Linked DNA regions of Styela clava. The protein of the gene in region 1 purifies or fractionates together with the protein of each later gene. This does not show direct contact. Links are inferred from orthologs where the notes say so. Each region holds a gene or a part of one and is shown on either strand. Other genes may lie near its edges.

Region 1 (8,262 bases):
GACTTTTCCACGTGAATTCCGAGGCGATAAATATGTATTTTTGATTTACTGATATACTTGTATTTTATTTGATAGACAGGTATTTTCATTGTTTGAAATAAAATTGTACTCTACGGACTTTATATCAGTTATTGAGATTTTTCTAACGGCTATAACGAGTTCGCCGCAAGATTGCAAAAATACGTATCAAAATTAAATGCATTAGGCAGTTTCACATATTTTTATATCCAGAGATCGCCGTGGTATTTTACGTGAGTGATGTTTTTATTTTGATATGAGAAGACGCAACCGTTACGTTGGACTCAACTAAATTATTATATTAGGACATTTTAGAACATCGTAGTTATTATAAATTGAATATTTTATGCAACAGAAAAACCATTATACGCTGAAAGGGCGACTCTTTTAACGAGCGCGCAATCGCGGTGACCGTGACAGACGGCAATGGAAGGAATTTCCGATTTTCAACCCCCCTCCCCCTTTTTGAAAATCCTGGCTGCGCACCTGACTGATACCTACCTTTTTAGTCAATTAAAACTGATACCTGTGATACCTTTTTTAGTCGGGGCCCCTGGTACGGTACAGAACCGGTAGTCCGGTATGTTAATAAATTACCGAGTTAGACGAATGCTGGGATGTCACATTGCTCATCGAAAGAGAGACGTTGTATAATAAAATCGAGATCTGTTTGTGATTTATCTTCAATAAGAGAAAATCCGAAAATGATATGGTAACTTACCGCTAGCGACCGAGCCTCGCACGATGTTGATAAACGTATTCCAGTTTATTACATCCAGCCTTCTGATTTCATACCGGTACCGGTCGGTACCAAATTTTCGATAGTCAGTACCTGCCGTGACGCACATGCATTTAAAAAATTAGAACCCATACTCCAATATCTCAATCTTACTACAGTACCGTACCATACTGCCATATGCTCAACTTATCCATTTAATAAATCTGCTTATGTCTGTATGTACCTCCAGACTTCTATGCTAAACTTGATTCCGTGGCAGGTGAACGCAACACGCCTGAGTAGACTTGTGCTCTCAAAAATGCATGTGAGCAAAAATCAATTGAAGGGGAGAAAATTCGGAAAATGTGTCAATCCTAATAACCCCCACCTGACTAAGCCACGCCAAATGCTGGTTACCAACTAAATGGCCTGTCTTGAAAAGCAAGCGCAAAAACTACTTCGCCTGTATAAAACTGTTTATCACAGTTTGTTTGTTACGATTATTTAACCTATGCGAAATTCGCAACATCGCCATCTTGCGTGACAGGACTGTGCTTCAAAGCACCAGTTGGCATGTTCCGTTTAAATAATTTAAAAATTATTTGTCCAAATTTATATCAAATGGGGCCATTCTGTCAGTTGCACGCTAACAATCTACAAACAATCTTGGTAAGTTTGCACACAGGCTCAGGGGTTTGGCATGTCACACTTTGCACGCTGAGATTTTTGGATTTATTTCAGGATCTATACGAGTTGTGTACTAAAGTTGTTCATCCAGTTTACAAGCAACTTCGTTCCCATAGCTACAAAAACCGTAACTACTGAACTTGCTAACTCTGAAATGTTCACTCAAAGTCAGTTCTGTAGTTAGTTGCATTATACACTCCAAATACTGAAATACAACCACTGCTGCACTGACAGTTTGACTTTTCAGGGCTCTGAATCTACTGTATCAAGACTAGCAAAATGATGTCATACATAGACACACATGGCATGGAAGAATTTGACCTATCTAAAGAGAATACGATCAATGATATATTATATTTCTAACTAGATTCAATACAATTAAACCATCATGATAAAGTTGCTAGACACTTAGAAATCGTTTCTTTTTTGTGAGTTATAGTAATCGCAAAAATATCGATAATAAATGCAACCAGTGATAAAAATCTAATTCAAAAATCCCCACATTCCAATCATGTATTATGTTTTAGCCTATTATCCCTTATGGTTTTTTGTTTGTTTTCGACAACTTTCCAAAGGAAAGTACTCAGCTATTTGGATTAAATATTATTAATCTATTGCTTGCTATCATTTTTATGTTTTTTTCTTGAAATTTGGGTTTCTGGAAACTTGGGTAGCACATCACCCGTCTATATTTTTTCAATATTAATTATGTTAGGTTATTAAAGTCAATGATCTGGAATTTGTCGTAACGCAACATAGGTAAACCACCCTATGCTATGCCTGAGAGCTTGGGCCAACACTGCTGTTCTCATTTTATAAACATTAAATTATGAAATTGTTGAATAAGGTACCGGTGGCGGTAATTGTGATTGAAAAATAATAGCTTAGTGGCGATATTGACTAGATTAACTAAACATAGCCTACTTTGTCAGATTTGTCCTAAACGTATTGCAAGTTTAGCATGCAAAAATCAAATAGCAATTCAGGATAACATATTTCGGGAAAACCAACAGGAAAGACCTCTGATGTTATTTTCAATACACCAGGAAACAGCATATTATGCTGATTCAGTTAATGGAGAAAATTACCAATTTATTGCAAAGAATTTTTTGTTTTAATTGATGAAAAAACGTTTTCAATGATGAAAAAAGATTTGGGTTTATTTTGAAATATTGTAATTCCATAAGAATAATTGAATCAAAGTAACTATTTGTTGTGGATATTGCAATAAGTCAATATCAAGTGAAATTCTAATTGCAACTCTATATGCCACGTGTATTTATTTGAAGTTTCTGGCTCATTTGATACTTTTTTGAATAAAAATTACAACCAGTTGGTTTGAAGATCATATATAAAAAATTCTACGAGGTTCGAAAGCATAGAGATAATGTAAAATCATCAATTTGAAGCAATAAAACTAGCCAACTATGACTGAAATCCTGGAGTAGAAGTCCTGGAGTGTTATTTCCAATAATACATTTTAACATTATTGTCTTAATTTCTAATCGAAGTACAAGGTATGATTAAATATATACCAGTATAATCAACTGAATAACCTGCAGAATTTAGGCAAGAATATTTATATATTCTCTTCTTGTCATTAGGATCATAAACTACGAATTTCAAATTCATTCACTTAAAACAGATGCAGAGGTAAAATCAGAGATATGGATTAAGGTTGCTTTTAATAGTTACGGTAATCATGACATATTTCAAGCTATAAGTGGTTTAAAACAGTGTGGTTTCTGAAAATTGGAATATTTTTACAGTCATATATGATTTAACTTGCCTTGAGAAAGTATAGTGAACATTTTATGTATGTTTGACCAAAATAATTTTATGCCTATGGCATTGGTTCTCAAAATTTGCTATGTACGCCCCGAAAATTAACAGAATTGTGTTGTTATAGCTACAGTACTATATGGTTGAATATTTTACATATCGTTTTATTATAATGTTTTATTGTTTCCTATTTTAAATGCTGTGTATATAAATCAGTGAATTCATTTTTACCTTTCTATGTTGTTTACTTTCTGTTAGGTAGTGTCTGCCTCTATTGTTATGTAACAATGGAGATAATCCTAGTTGCTGCTATTTCATGAGCTGCAGTTTATTTATCTTCTGAGTTTAGCAAACATGTTTTTAGTATTCCGAAGGAAATGAAAATAAAAGACATCCCCCCAAAATAAGCCCTAGTGTTATTTTTCGAAAGAAAATTCAAATAAAACCCTGCCTTATTTTCAGGGAAACACGGTATAATAAAGTACTAGACATAGGGCTTTGTTCTGCAATTGAGTTGACAATTTGTTAGTTTGCAGACACAGTGTAGGATACACATGCCGCAAACCATTATCCATATTGTCAGTTTGTCTGGTTAAGATGACACAGTATCAATGTCATTATTTCATTACCAAGTTAATTCTGTTAGTTCTGTTTTATTTTAATCTATAAAGAAGATGTTTTGTAGGGCTCAGACTCTTCAGTTTGGAACAATTCCTCATTCTTGGTTTTTCAACTTATTTGGTAATATTTTATAGAAGTGCCTGAGGCAAAGGAACATATCTGTTCTTATAACATGAACTATCATCACTTGTGACACATCTTTCCCCTCAGGCAAAATCTGGTATTTCTAGTTGACAAATTTTAAGATGAAGACTGTAATTGCACTACTTGACTATGCCATGAAATTATTGAGCTTTTAAATGACTTATAGTATGTATTAGGCTTCAGTTAGAGTAAAATATTAGAGTTATTTATATCATATATATAACAATATAATAGTTGTCAGTTCATCCATGGTTACACTGTGTCGTATCGCAGGGAATATCATTATCGTAATCAGTGAGATTGTATTTGAGAATAATGATTCTTATATTATCTTAGCCATAGCATATTTTCATAACACCTCAATGTGAAAAGGTTTCTTCCATCAATGAATACTACACAGTTATGAAATACTGGTGCATTAAAAAAAGTTTTGAGGTTTTCAAATTAATAATGTTCGAGAAACAATATAACTCATTACCAGTAGTATGTCCTTGGTCAGATTAACTGCGAAATTACATTTCCATGTTCCAAACAGTATGTACCGTAAGTTTCTTATTTCAGAAGCAACCTAGTCAAAGGTCTAAAGGTGTTTCACAAAGTTGTGGTAAAAATTACAGTAACTCAAATAATCTTTGTAGTTGATTTGTAGTAATATAAATTGTAGACTTACTATTTCTTCTCTATTGCTTTTCAATTGGTGTATTATAGCAAATATGAATATTTTTTATTTAGTCTTATTAAGCCGTGCTTAAATGCTGCACATATTCACAAATTATGATTTTTAATTGTTGTGGCCAATGTCAGGCCTCATCAGGCAATTTACAGCATTGATCGAACACATTTTTTTGTGTGTAAATTGTTATGGTGGTTATGATTAGTTCTTATTAAACAGTAGAATGAGTTTATTCCTGTTTTACAACTTTAGTCTCCTTAGACCAATTTTATGCAATTGTTTTTGACATGCCAATTTCATTTACAGCTGATGACTTATATAATATAGGTTATGTGATACACCTGCAAAAACATACAGTCTGTAATTTTTTATTGCTTACTTGAGGTTTAGGAAATTTGAAGTTGTAATACACAAGATTATCATCATGTCTTCTGGGCTCATTCAACGGAAGACAGAAGCTACTATGGCTGCAGCCCAGATGAAAAAGAAAGAAAGTCGTAGTGATGACGAGAAAAGTGATGATGATAGGTTTGTAGTTCATTTTTATGTCTAGTTCATTTTGCCTACGTTATATCTATTGCATCAGAAATGCTCTAGCCAAGAATTTCTCAAAATTATCCCTCCACATATAGGAGGGCACAGAGCGGCATTGTGGAGGTCAAGAACAGATATTCACTAGGTCACCGTTCATGATAACTGCATTAATTTAGAGTAAACTGAGAACGATTTTTTTGTTTATTTCACCGTAATGCATTCTTTTGCTTTCATTTGTTGGCTTTTTTTGTGTTAAATTAAAATAGCTGATGGCAATAATAATTTCTAAATTATTCTTTGCATTTTCCTGCTGTTCATCAATTGAGTTGTTGATTTTCTTTTGAATTAAACACCATGGGAGATATATTTGCGGTAGACAAAGTGTTTTTTATTATTTTTCAAGTAAATATACGTCAGAAACTCAGAATGGTGTGTAAAATCGGTTAATCATAACCAGCCCTACTGATCAGCCATACAATCAATAGTAAGCATGTTCTTGTCGCTTATTAACACATTGCACCGATCGTGGATACTTATTAATTGTAAACAATAGCTACAACCTACTGTGCATTTTTATTTCATGTTCATTGTTCTTTATTTGAATGGTGTTGTATTTCAATTTTAACATAGAGACCTCAGACACCCATCGCTAGTTATTCTGTGTTTTTACTGACTGTGTGCATACTCTATTTCAGAATGTCTGATAGTGGGGACAAGTCTATGCGATTAACTTTAATGGAAGAAGTTCTTCTGATGGGTTTGAAAGATCGTGAAGGTTACACATCATTTTGGAATGATTGCATATCATCAGGATTAAGAGGTTGCATTCTGGTTGAACTTGCTTTGCGTGGAAGGATTCAGCTTGAAAGGCAACAAGCAAGGAAAAGAAAATTGTTGGATAGGAAGGTTCAGAAACATCTCTTCACCAATCTTTAGAAGTTTTATTTTTAATTACTCATTTTGAACAGATTTTATAGTAGTCATAGCAAGCAAGCCTGAAGTTGTACCACTTATTTAGGGAATTGAGGTTTAGGTATTAGAGTTGTTAGACTAAATTTTCTTTATATTGTTTTTTTACTTACCGTACACATTTTTTTACGCAAAACTCTGAATTCCAGGTACGATGTAAAAATGACGCACCTACTGGGGATGTTATCTTAGATGAAGCTTTGACACATATTAAGAAAGGAGAAACAGAAGAATCAGTTCAGGTATACATTGTTCTTTGGTCTAATAATATTTGAAAATATTTTACATCAGGATGCAAATTACTGGGCGGGCAACATTTGCGCAGGTGCTATTTTGAATTAAATTTCCTTCCGTTGGATATCCAATATATAGATGTCAAGCGGAATAAATACTAGAAATTAGAATACTCACAATTCCTTGATTTCACCTGAAATGTTCAAAAAATGTAATTGCTCCGATGAAAAACTTCCAGTTATACTAACTTTCATTTTTTTCCTGAAACAACAACTCCCAACAACGAAAAGAAGAGAATTCCTTCTTCGAATGGTCCGATGTGTATATAATGAACTTTGTATGACACCAGTCTATGAAGGAGCCCAGAGGATTTGTGTCTGCTTTATTCCAATATAGTGACATAGAAAATATCTCTATCAAGCATATTGTTGGCTAAATCAAACCACCCATTCCTAGTCGAAGAGGTGAACTAATATTCGAACTGAATGCCCGTTTATGGTAACCATTATTGAGTTCAATCGTTCCAAATTTGATGTGGTGCCAAATTATTTAATTTCAAGGTTTTTTTATACAGTTTTTTTTAAATATTATCCTAAAAAATTTGAGTATACTGAGTTACAAAAGAAAAGCCTTTTATGACTACTTGAATAAGATTCAAACTGTTTAAACCACAAGAAAGTACAGAGTTAGAATGTTACAAATGAAACCATAATTTCATAGAGAATTAATTTTACATCGCTTCTAACGTCAAAAACTACTCAAATAACCAGACCCCCTTATTGAAAACATATAGCACCAACTGCACAATATACACTTTTCATTTCGGTGATGAGTGGGTATTTGATAATGAAGATTATCAGATTCAATCTTGTAACTTTGTTCCGATGATTAATATTTTGCAGGGATGGATAGATCTGCTGTCTGGAGAAACGTGGAATCCTTTAAAATTGCAATATCAATTACGAAATGTACGGGAACGCCTTGCCAAGAACCTTGTTGAGAAAGGAGTTCTAACAACTTCAAAACAGAATTTTGTTTTATTCGACATGACCACACATCCTGTTGTCAATGATGATGTAAAAGCAAGCCTTCTAAAAAGAGTTCAAGATGCTGTTTTAACTAAATGGCCAAATGATGTTGAAAAGATGGATCGGTCAGTTTCTCATACTATAGTAACTTCTTTTTTACAGTGTAAAACATATGAAACCTCAAGTGATGCATTACTTTAGTTATATTTGAAAAATCAATCATGCTCACTCCTTTTTGCTTTCCTGCTAATCAGTGATTTGTGTTGTTGAACTTTGTGCCAATATTACTGGTTGGGTGAAACTCTGGCGGTTTACATGATTTGTAACTGTATGTGGGTGGGAAGCCCACATAAATAACAAATTCCTCTATTTTATTTTCGCGAAACCTGGTTTTGTTCGGCGCATCGTGCACTTGATTACTGTACTCTGCGTGCTTTCGTAGGTTTGAATCACGTGGGCAATTATCACACACGAAAGAATTGCTGCCGTAAGGCACGGTAGTTTGCTTACCTTATTGGTCGACAAAATACGGCCGGACGCTCCATTAAATGGACCTTTCCCCGACCTTCAACCCCGGAAAATTCTTTCTATGCTTTACCATTTTAAAATTTTCGGTGCTTATTTTAAGAGTGGTTTCGCGAGTTGTCGCCTGTAAAATGGGGTATTTCAAACTATCATTCGAATACATACCATTCAACAATCTATTTTTTTAAATTACCGGTAAAGAATTTTAGCCTAGTCTATCACAGCTATTTTCACTTTAATTTTTGATTACTACAATTAAACTGAAACTCCTAGGAAGACAAAGTGATCATTGAATTATTTGATTTTTATTTAAATTTCCGAAACACAAC
Region 2 (8,593 bases), on another chromosome or scaffold:
CCCCCCCTAAATGGAAAAGCTGGGGAACATACTGGCTCGAACCCGTTCCTGAAATGTCTTAATAATAAGCGAACCCGTTTTGGATTTATCCGTTACACGACTGCAGGAAATAAGTTACAAAAGTTATGTATTTGATTCATTTAACTTTTAATAGCATAGAACCACAATGGCTATTTACTCTTTTTCTCCTTTCTCTCCCTCCACGGAGCCGACACGAACCTTCTCCGTAATCCTTATCCAGGACAGCAAGATCATTAGGATAGGAGTACCGGTAGAACCATATTTACGGTAGAACTCAGTGACATATATATTTTCTGAAATGAGAGAAGCTGTTATTAGTGAGTTCGATATAAAAATAATTCGTTTTCAAAATATTTAATCCCACTGCGGGAAAACACCACAAAAGTTAATGCACGACCGGCAAACCCGATCGCGACCCCATCCTCCTCCTGTCAACTTCCGTCACGTGAGCTCATATTTTCCTGAAATCGTCGTTATTTATGACGTCACATTAATCGCGCAAGCGTTTCAATCTGAGACATCGGGGCGTTTGTGCCGGCCTGGCCAAATCTTTGTTTCGTTTTGATTTAGTCGTATTATCGTATTTTATGCGAGGGTGTTGAATAATGTAAGTGGCGTACCACCTTGTGTGTAACGTATCCAGGGATAGGATGTAGTTCTATCTGATTTTCATTATACTATTACGGTATACGATACAGAGTTATTTCAGCACCTTATCGGTAGACTACGACTGACGGTGGAGACGTCAGTCGGTCATTGCTGTATTGCTTGCGATTTGCTAGTTCTCTTACAGCTGTACAGTCTGGCTAGATCAAAATATTACTGAATTACCGCATTGGTACTGTTGGTATGTCATACCAGCCTCCATGGCGAGTCAGTCTCCACCCGAAAATAGCATGCCATTCCTGCATTCCAATGAAAAATAAAACTTGCCTCACAATGCTATTGTAACAATTTTGATGCTATATAGTACCGGTACCGGGACCGTACGTAGATAGTCTGTAAATTCCCTCTCATCTAGGCATCAGTTTAAGGGTTGGGGCATCTGAGAGATACCATTATACAGTTCAGCAGTTATACACCCACTCAATGTCTGGGTCTGGTATAGTTTACTGGTTTAGTACCACATCCACTTCTAGTTGGCCTGGCTCAACAATTTTTGCATATGTCAATTCTAACCCCCACCTGACTACGTCACCGAAAAATTACGTCATTCCGACGTCACAGTGGCGTAATACGGCTCACCGAAGTATGCGGATGGTCATCCAAAACGCGCAGACGATAACCCGAAATCGAGCAAGCTATTTTTCTCGTCACAACGATCACGATAGGAGAGAGATCGCCGGCTTTAGCAAGTTCTGATCGGCGGCGCAGATGCCATTTTGGGCGATCGTAGTTATACTTTGGCAATCCCTATGACGTGGTAGTGACGTAATTTTTGGATGGCATAGTCCTGTAGTCAGGTGAGGGTTAGGAATAACATATGCAAAAATTGTTATGCTACGCCCACTGGAAGTACTTGTGGTACTAAACTTTACTAGACCCCAATGTCTGAATGTCCACCAATGAAATAGTGTGCTTGCGGTTAAACGTTTGATTTTAGATCTGGCATTATAGGTTTCTGATAATCTATCTGTTAGGTACAGTGATGCTGTATTTCGAGGCGCATGAAAGAATACAGGACTCATCTTGCAGATAAATATTGTAGTTCAGTAGTTGGATTCAAAAAACTCATATCGTTATAATGACTTTACTGGACACCGCGGCACCATGAAATCATTACTGCATTAAGCTTGCTAAGGACTGCTATCGGGTCTTGTGTAGTATCGTATCTCAAATACCTCTAGTGGATGTAGCATAACGATTTTGTCAATCCTAACCACCACCTGACGATGTCATCCAAAAACGAGAGAAATAGCTTGCTTAAATTTAGGTGATCGCCTGCCCATTATGGATGACAGTTCTTATAGTTTGAAGGGCCCTATTACATCACTACTGCACTAGGACGTCCTGACGTGATTTTTCAGTGACGCAGTCAGGTGGAGGTTAGGATTGGGATTGACATATGCAAAAGTTGTTATGCTACGCCCATTGGAAGTACTTGAGTTATGAAACTACACCAGACCCCTGCTATCATACCGAACATGCCAGGGCGTAGCCAGAAATTTTCGAAGGGGGGGGTTCTGAATTTTTTTTTGCCAAGTTAGACCGAAACTGCTAGCGGGTTCGATCGAACTCTGGAATACGCCTGTTTCTAGTAGTCTTGTGGGTCTAAAAAGCATTTCAAGCTACGGAAAATTGCTATCTATGATACAGAAAATTGATTTTATTTTTTTTACATTTTAAAAGGGGGGGGGGGGGGGTTTCGACCCGCAAAACCACCCCCCTGGCTACGCCATTGCGAACATTGTTTCAAATACATGCAAAACAGCCTGAAATAGGTTCCAGTTTTGGGGTCTCGTGAAGTACACGCAGCAAGTAATTCTAATTGGCCCGGCTGGACAATTTTTGTATATCTCATGCCTAATCCCCACCTGACTACGTAATCCGAAAATTACATCACTGCGAAGTCGCTGGGGTTAGGAATATTATATGCGAAAATCGTTATCCTACGCCCAGTCTGCCAGTAGAAGTACTTGAGGACGTGTACCCCAGTTTTGAACATTTGTTTCATCCACAATACAGAAATACTGTAATAAGTTCATTCATACTTGTTTATGTGGCTCCATCAAACATTTTAGACTCAATGATTTTTTTCTTTTGTATTATTGTTTTCTAAGCGAAAGAATATCATTGTGCCTTTGTAACATGGGCTGTATTGGGGTTAGCTGTGATTTGTTAAGTCCTGTCCCACTTGCTCTTGGCGTCCGTTTGGAACTTATTACTTGCGTACTGGGCTATTCCAAGTGACTCTACGGAACAATGTACGGACTTGTGAGATGTACTATATTTTCACATTGTCAGCTACATGTTTTGTATCATTGTCCAATCAGTTGCTTTATGAGGGTTTGAACAAAACTGCACGAAAGGTAAAAACAAGATTCACTTAGTGGATATAAAATATAGCGTGACATTACGGAACGGCAAGTTCACCATGCATCAACGTTTCATTGTGTTGTGTTGTAAATTGTCGCGTTAGTACAGCAAGAGCTATTTTCTGGTGCAATAACTGAAGGACAGACCCCTCTGTGTCACTCAAGTTACTCAATGTAACACTGTAGATCCATGACGATAATGTGCACATTGTACGGGACACATTTTTCCTCTTTGGAACAGCAGCCTCTATCATCTCTTAAAATTCTGGTAATAAATCGTTAAATCGGTAAAGACATGTCCTACAGCACTGCAAACACTTAGGCTCAAACTCAAGTCTAGTGCATCTATTCGAAATGAAATAACTGTACCAGACAATCAAACAATTCATGTTATGAGTCACCAGAAAACAAAATTTCTACATTTCAGGCCACTTTGTTCAAATCATCAAAAACCTGGATGAAATTTAAACTTTTTTGGTGAAATGAATGCAGTCCAATAACGTTCAAGTGTCTTTTGATATAAAAAATACAAAACAATTACTTTCACTACACTATTAAAAAAATTTATGAAGTTCAACAGTTCCTTGGAATGGCCCTACTTTGGTTGCTGACATTTTACGAATATCAGCAGTGTCATATTAATATCTTACTGAAGTGCTTGCTTTGTTATATCCAGTAGTCTTCACTATGCGATTTACATACCTATGTATTTTCCTAGGGTTAACAATTATTGCAGAGTATGCTCCATTTCAGTGAAAAACAGGTGTGAAATACCGGTAGTTCAAATGCTGACAAAGCCCACACGGTTCATGTTCATTATGCTCAGAAGGCTTGGATCAAGTAAAAATAACCCAACAATAATTGTTAATTAATATATAAGGGTAGTTTGAAAACAAACAGTGCAGCATGGACCAAGCATTTTATAAGCTTTCTGTTTGAGCTCAAAACCTATTTGGTACACCTTGATCTACTTCACTGCAAACCAGTGTGTTGTGGAACATACCATGGTGTGTTTCATCAAATAGCCCATGTTTTTGTTTCTGTTATTTGCATCCTTTATGAGTATTCCTTCATATGCCAAATTTATAATGGTAAACTAATTATTGTGTGAGCAGTTCATATTTATTTTAGTTTTAATTTTGCAAAATATGGATTTGTCACTTTATATTTTGCCTTGCTTTCTTTATAATATTTTCAATGTGGCCCAAAATCAATCAATGGTACCATGTTACGTTCTTTTAATGACGAGAGTTTAGTTTCCATGGAGCATGAGGGTGGCCATACAGTGTCATATCAAACAAGGGTATCTCCATAGTATGTGTACCAGGTGAGGGTTAGGCCATAATTTTATTCCGATTTTCCTTATTTTAGTCCTATTACGATTTTGGGCACTGTTTGTGTTAGCCAAGTGAATATACCCCCTGCCCATAGGCTCCCATCCCTTTACACTTGATGTCAAGTAGCTGAACAAAATTAGTTACCTTCATATTGGTACACATACCGTACTTCTGGAGCGCCCAAACAAGATCTAAATATGATTTGTTCTTTTTTTGACTATTTTAGTGTGATTGACATATTTCCCTAATTAAGCTCTACAAGCCACAGAACAGTACAGTTAATTGCTTTTTAGCAATTGGGTATCACACTCCAATCTACCTGGATTTCTTATTGATCTCTGGACCAGTGTACCAGTAAGTTTTAGTTTTGTTTTATCAAACATATCATTATTAATAAAAAGTTATACTTCTACCAAATTATATTCACTTTTTGACTTTAAAAAATTTTCCCATAGATTTGCCAGAATTTGTAATTCTGAATTAAAAACTTTTATGTCAATGTATTCCTTTGAATTTTAAATATATTGGTTGCATATCGACATTGATGAACAATGTCTGAATTTTTGATGCTGAGTCGTTGACGTAATGATTTTTATACTTATCTTCACAGGGCAAATTTGAAAATCAAAATCACAAACTCAAATCATGGGTACTAAAGATGATGAATACGATTATTTATTTAAAGGTTTGTATCAAGGCATAAATACACTAAATGAAATTTTGGTATGTCCGACATATACTATGTGACTAGCTTGATCCTTTGTTAAATTAGGCATTTATCTCCAGACCAAATATAGGCATATTTCTCAATTCAAATTACATTCTATATTGTGAATACAAACTCTCGATATATATGGTCTTTCAACCGCTGTGGTGTTTGTCTATTCAGGCCGATTCATAATTTTGTTAATCATTAATTATTTTGATACTTATTTTAAAGCATTTTACAACTGAAATCTTATTAGAGCTCATGAACAAGCCTTTACACATCCACAAATTCAAAAGTGGCGGTTTTTAATAAAATGAAAGTTCAAAATTATACATCACGTTACACTAGAATTTTTTTCACTAGGTTATGTAATATCACCATTATTACTTTAGCTAGACTAGAAAATGCTTTGCCGTTGGACTCAAATGTCATATATATTAATCAATTTTTTGGCCATCATTTTGTTGCGGTTGATTATATATAGAATTTATTTGTAGTACTTTATTTTGTTGTTAAAATGACTGCATTTTTCAAATGGAGAAATATATATTTTTTTTAAATTTATTAAAATATACATGTTTTGTGAAGACATTTAAATTGGTATCAAATTATAATTAGTAGCCTATACAAGATAGTGTAAGATATTTATCTTGATATAGCTCTTGATAACAAGAGAATATAAGAATTTTCTTTTAAATATCAATGCATACAACTATGTTGGGTATGTAATGCATCAGAGCTAATAAATGATTTGCAGTATATAGACAAATTTGACATACATTGTGTGTTTGCATTAGCTTTCTATTGAACTATTGGTATTGCATCACTGATGTTGGTGCCGGCTTGCACCCAGACAAGACCTTTCTCATATTTACAAAAAGAGCATCAACTGTTTATTATGTGAAATACCATTGTATTGTACCTGAAATCAGGCATATCAAACTATCTTTCGACATGAACATCTACAATGAGTTTCCATTTACTCAAACTAGCTTTTAACATGAATTTTTACAATGAGATTCCATTTACTCAAATTTTGGGGCTTTTAGAACATGGATGTCTTTTTTATATTTAAGTCATTCATCTTTGGAATGAGAGATCTTTAGAGGTATCATTATTCTGCTGCTATTTTCTTTTCCAATACTATACCATGAAATTATGTTATATAATAGATATGAAGAAAGATACCAGATGGGTGTCAGTGTCAGAATAGTAATTTTAATATTCTGAATTTGAAGAATAAATTTGAAATCACCTGTTAGTTGGAAAATCCAAGATAAAAACTTCTCTCATTAACCTTAAAACCACAAACATCATTAAAATACTTTGAATTGAAAGGCTACTTGGTAATGTAAAATAAACCCTGTTCGTCGTTATTGTTTCGGCTTTGAATTGGCATGATAATTAATTTAACATTGATTGGTAGTCTCAAATTAAAAACACAGGTATGTAATCGGCACTCATGCACATGTTTTAAATAAATCAATAGACACCTGAACATTTAATTCTATGGATTATTATACCCTCAGTCATGAGCTCTTACAATGGATAAGTTTTCTGTAGTATCGTTAGTTTATGAGTAAAGATTAAAACTCATTTATTAATTTGATAAGCCAAACTGATAGTTTAATAGGGACGGTATCGTCGATATAAATAACAATTCTAGCCATGCACTTGTGAACACAACTTTAATGATACCAAGTTGATTTTAAAAAGTTGTTTTTTAACTGAGGTCCACTGCAGTTCAGATTTTTTTTTATGTTACTCATTTTCAACTCGTATCTTTTGGGATAATCAGAACATCCCAGTGTAACAAAGATTTTTTTTTCATTTTACAGTTGTCCTAATTGGAGATTCTGGTGTCGGAAAAAGTAACCTTCTGTCAAGATTTACGAGGAATGAATTTAATCTCGAGAGCAAAAGTACAATCGGTGTAGAATTTGCAACGAGAAGTATACAAGTTGACGGGAAGACAATCAAAGCTCAAATATGGGATACTGCAGGACAAGAAAGATACAGGGCCATCACATCGGCGTAAGATTATCATTATCATATAGTATCTTAATCTGCAATATTGGCTGCATTACCTGACCGTACATTTTGTTGGGATGACATAATTGCTATAGATATAGACACTATATTGTTGTAGTATGATTATTTTTTATTCCATACCATTCATTTTTATTTGAAAAAACCATATATTTCAAATTGTGGCACACGTTACATTGAAATATGAGCCCAATAAAGGAATATATGAGAATATCTTTGGAGATTGGAGAAAATATTGCTGAACGCTTCTAAAATAAAAAAGCCTACATTTGTCCTGCTTGAAAGATGGAAAAAATTGTTTATTGCTTAACAGGTACTACAGGGGTGCAGTTGGTGCTTTGTTAGTTTATGATATAGCAAAACATTTGACATATGAAAATGTTGACCGATGGTTGAAGGAACTCCGTGATCATGCAGATAACAATATAGTCATCATGTTAGTCGGAAACAAGAGTGATTTACGACATTTGAGAGCTGTACCTTCTGATGAGGCGAAAGCATTTTCAGGTGAGCTACATCTTTTTTCAAATACAGTACAATTGCAGTACAATACAATTGCAAAGGGAATTTATCGATACCATAAATTGTTTTGGTGCTCACAGATGAATATTGAGAACTGACTTCATAACAAAATTGATATTGTATAGGTATTTATGGCGGTGACCGTACATTTGAACCCATGTACATTTGAACCCATGTGTATATCCACGGGTTCAATCTATATGCGGGTGCTAAAACTCATGGGTTAGGGTTAGTGTGGGTTCAACTATCCGAAAAACAAAAAAAATTCCATAGGTGCAATAGCATACAGGTGCAATTGCCATGGGTTCAAATGTACGTGGGTTCAAATGTAATGGAACCATTTATGGCCACCCTGTATGATTCATAAAAACGAAAATTTTCTTAAGAATCGTCACAATTCGAATTTCTGTTTCTATTGTTATAATATTTTTGTCAATTCAAATTTGTGAGATCTACAAATCTGTAACCTAATTCTCTTTTTTTCAGAAACTCATGGTCTATCATTCATTGAAACTTCGGCTTTAGATTCAACCAATGTAGAGACAGCTTTCCATAATATACTTACAGGTAATGTTTTACTTATAATAGAAAATTCTTTTAGTTGATTGTTAGTATAACGAAAGAGTTGAGAGTGTGTTTGACTGTTTGTTTGAGATTTGCCTTCAGAATCCACTGGTTATGTAATGTACGTTTAATTTTTTTTTATTATTTACAATTGTAATTGTGTTAGCATTGTGTGCATTTTTATATGCTATGAAATCAATTTCATATCCTTTTTGGATATTTGAGGTTATGCTGCTGATTTTTTCAACACTATTAGTGGAATGGAAATTTTACCAGCGATTCGGTTTTTGACTTAAGTTGCTGAATATGTGGTGGAATATTTTCATCTTGGTTCAGTCTTTTATAATTTGAATAAT

What was found. The genes of interacting proteins can lie anywhere in the genome.
Region 2: the proteins of Golgi phosphoprotein 3-like (region 1) and ras-related protein Rab-11B-like purify together in Drosophila melanogaster (affinity purification with western blotting; 3 studies listed by BioGRID, with this or other methods). This does not show direct contact. The link is inferred for Styela clava from reciprocal best matches to the Drosophila melanogaster genes sau and Rab11.

The regions. Positions count from the first base shown.
Region 1 is NC_135252.1:1,475,232-1,483,493, reverse strand, and holds the start of Golgi phosphoprotein 3-like, read left to right. Parts: upstream 1-4,934; 5' UTR 4,935-5,067; coding exon 5,068-5,171; intron 5,172-5,872; coding exon 5,873-6,083; intron 6,084-6,295; coding exon 6,296-6,388; intron 6,389-7,282; coding exon 7,283-7,533; intron 7,534-8,262. UniProt on the Drosophila melanogaster protein: Phosphatidylinositol-4-phosphate-binding protein that links Golgi membranes to the cytoskeleton and may participate in the tensile force required for vesicle budding from the Golgi.
Region 2 is NC_135262.1:17,157,950-17,166,542, reverse strand, and holds the start of ras-related protein Rab-11B-like, read left to right. Parts: upstream 1-4,588; 5' UTR 4,589-4,747; intron 4,748-5,003; 5' UTR 5,004-5,038; coding exon 5,039-5,078; intron 5,079-6,940; coding exon 6,941-7,136; intron 7,137-7,464; coding exon 7,465-7,658; intron 7,659-8,159; coding exon 8,160-8,240; intron 8,241-8,593.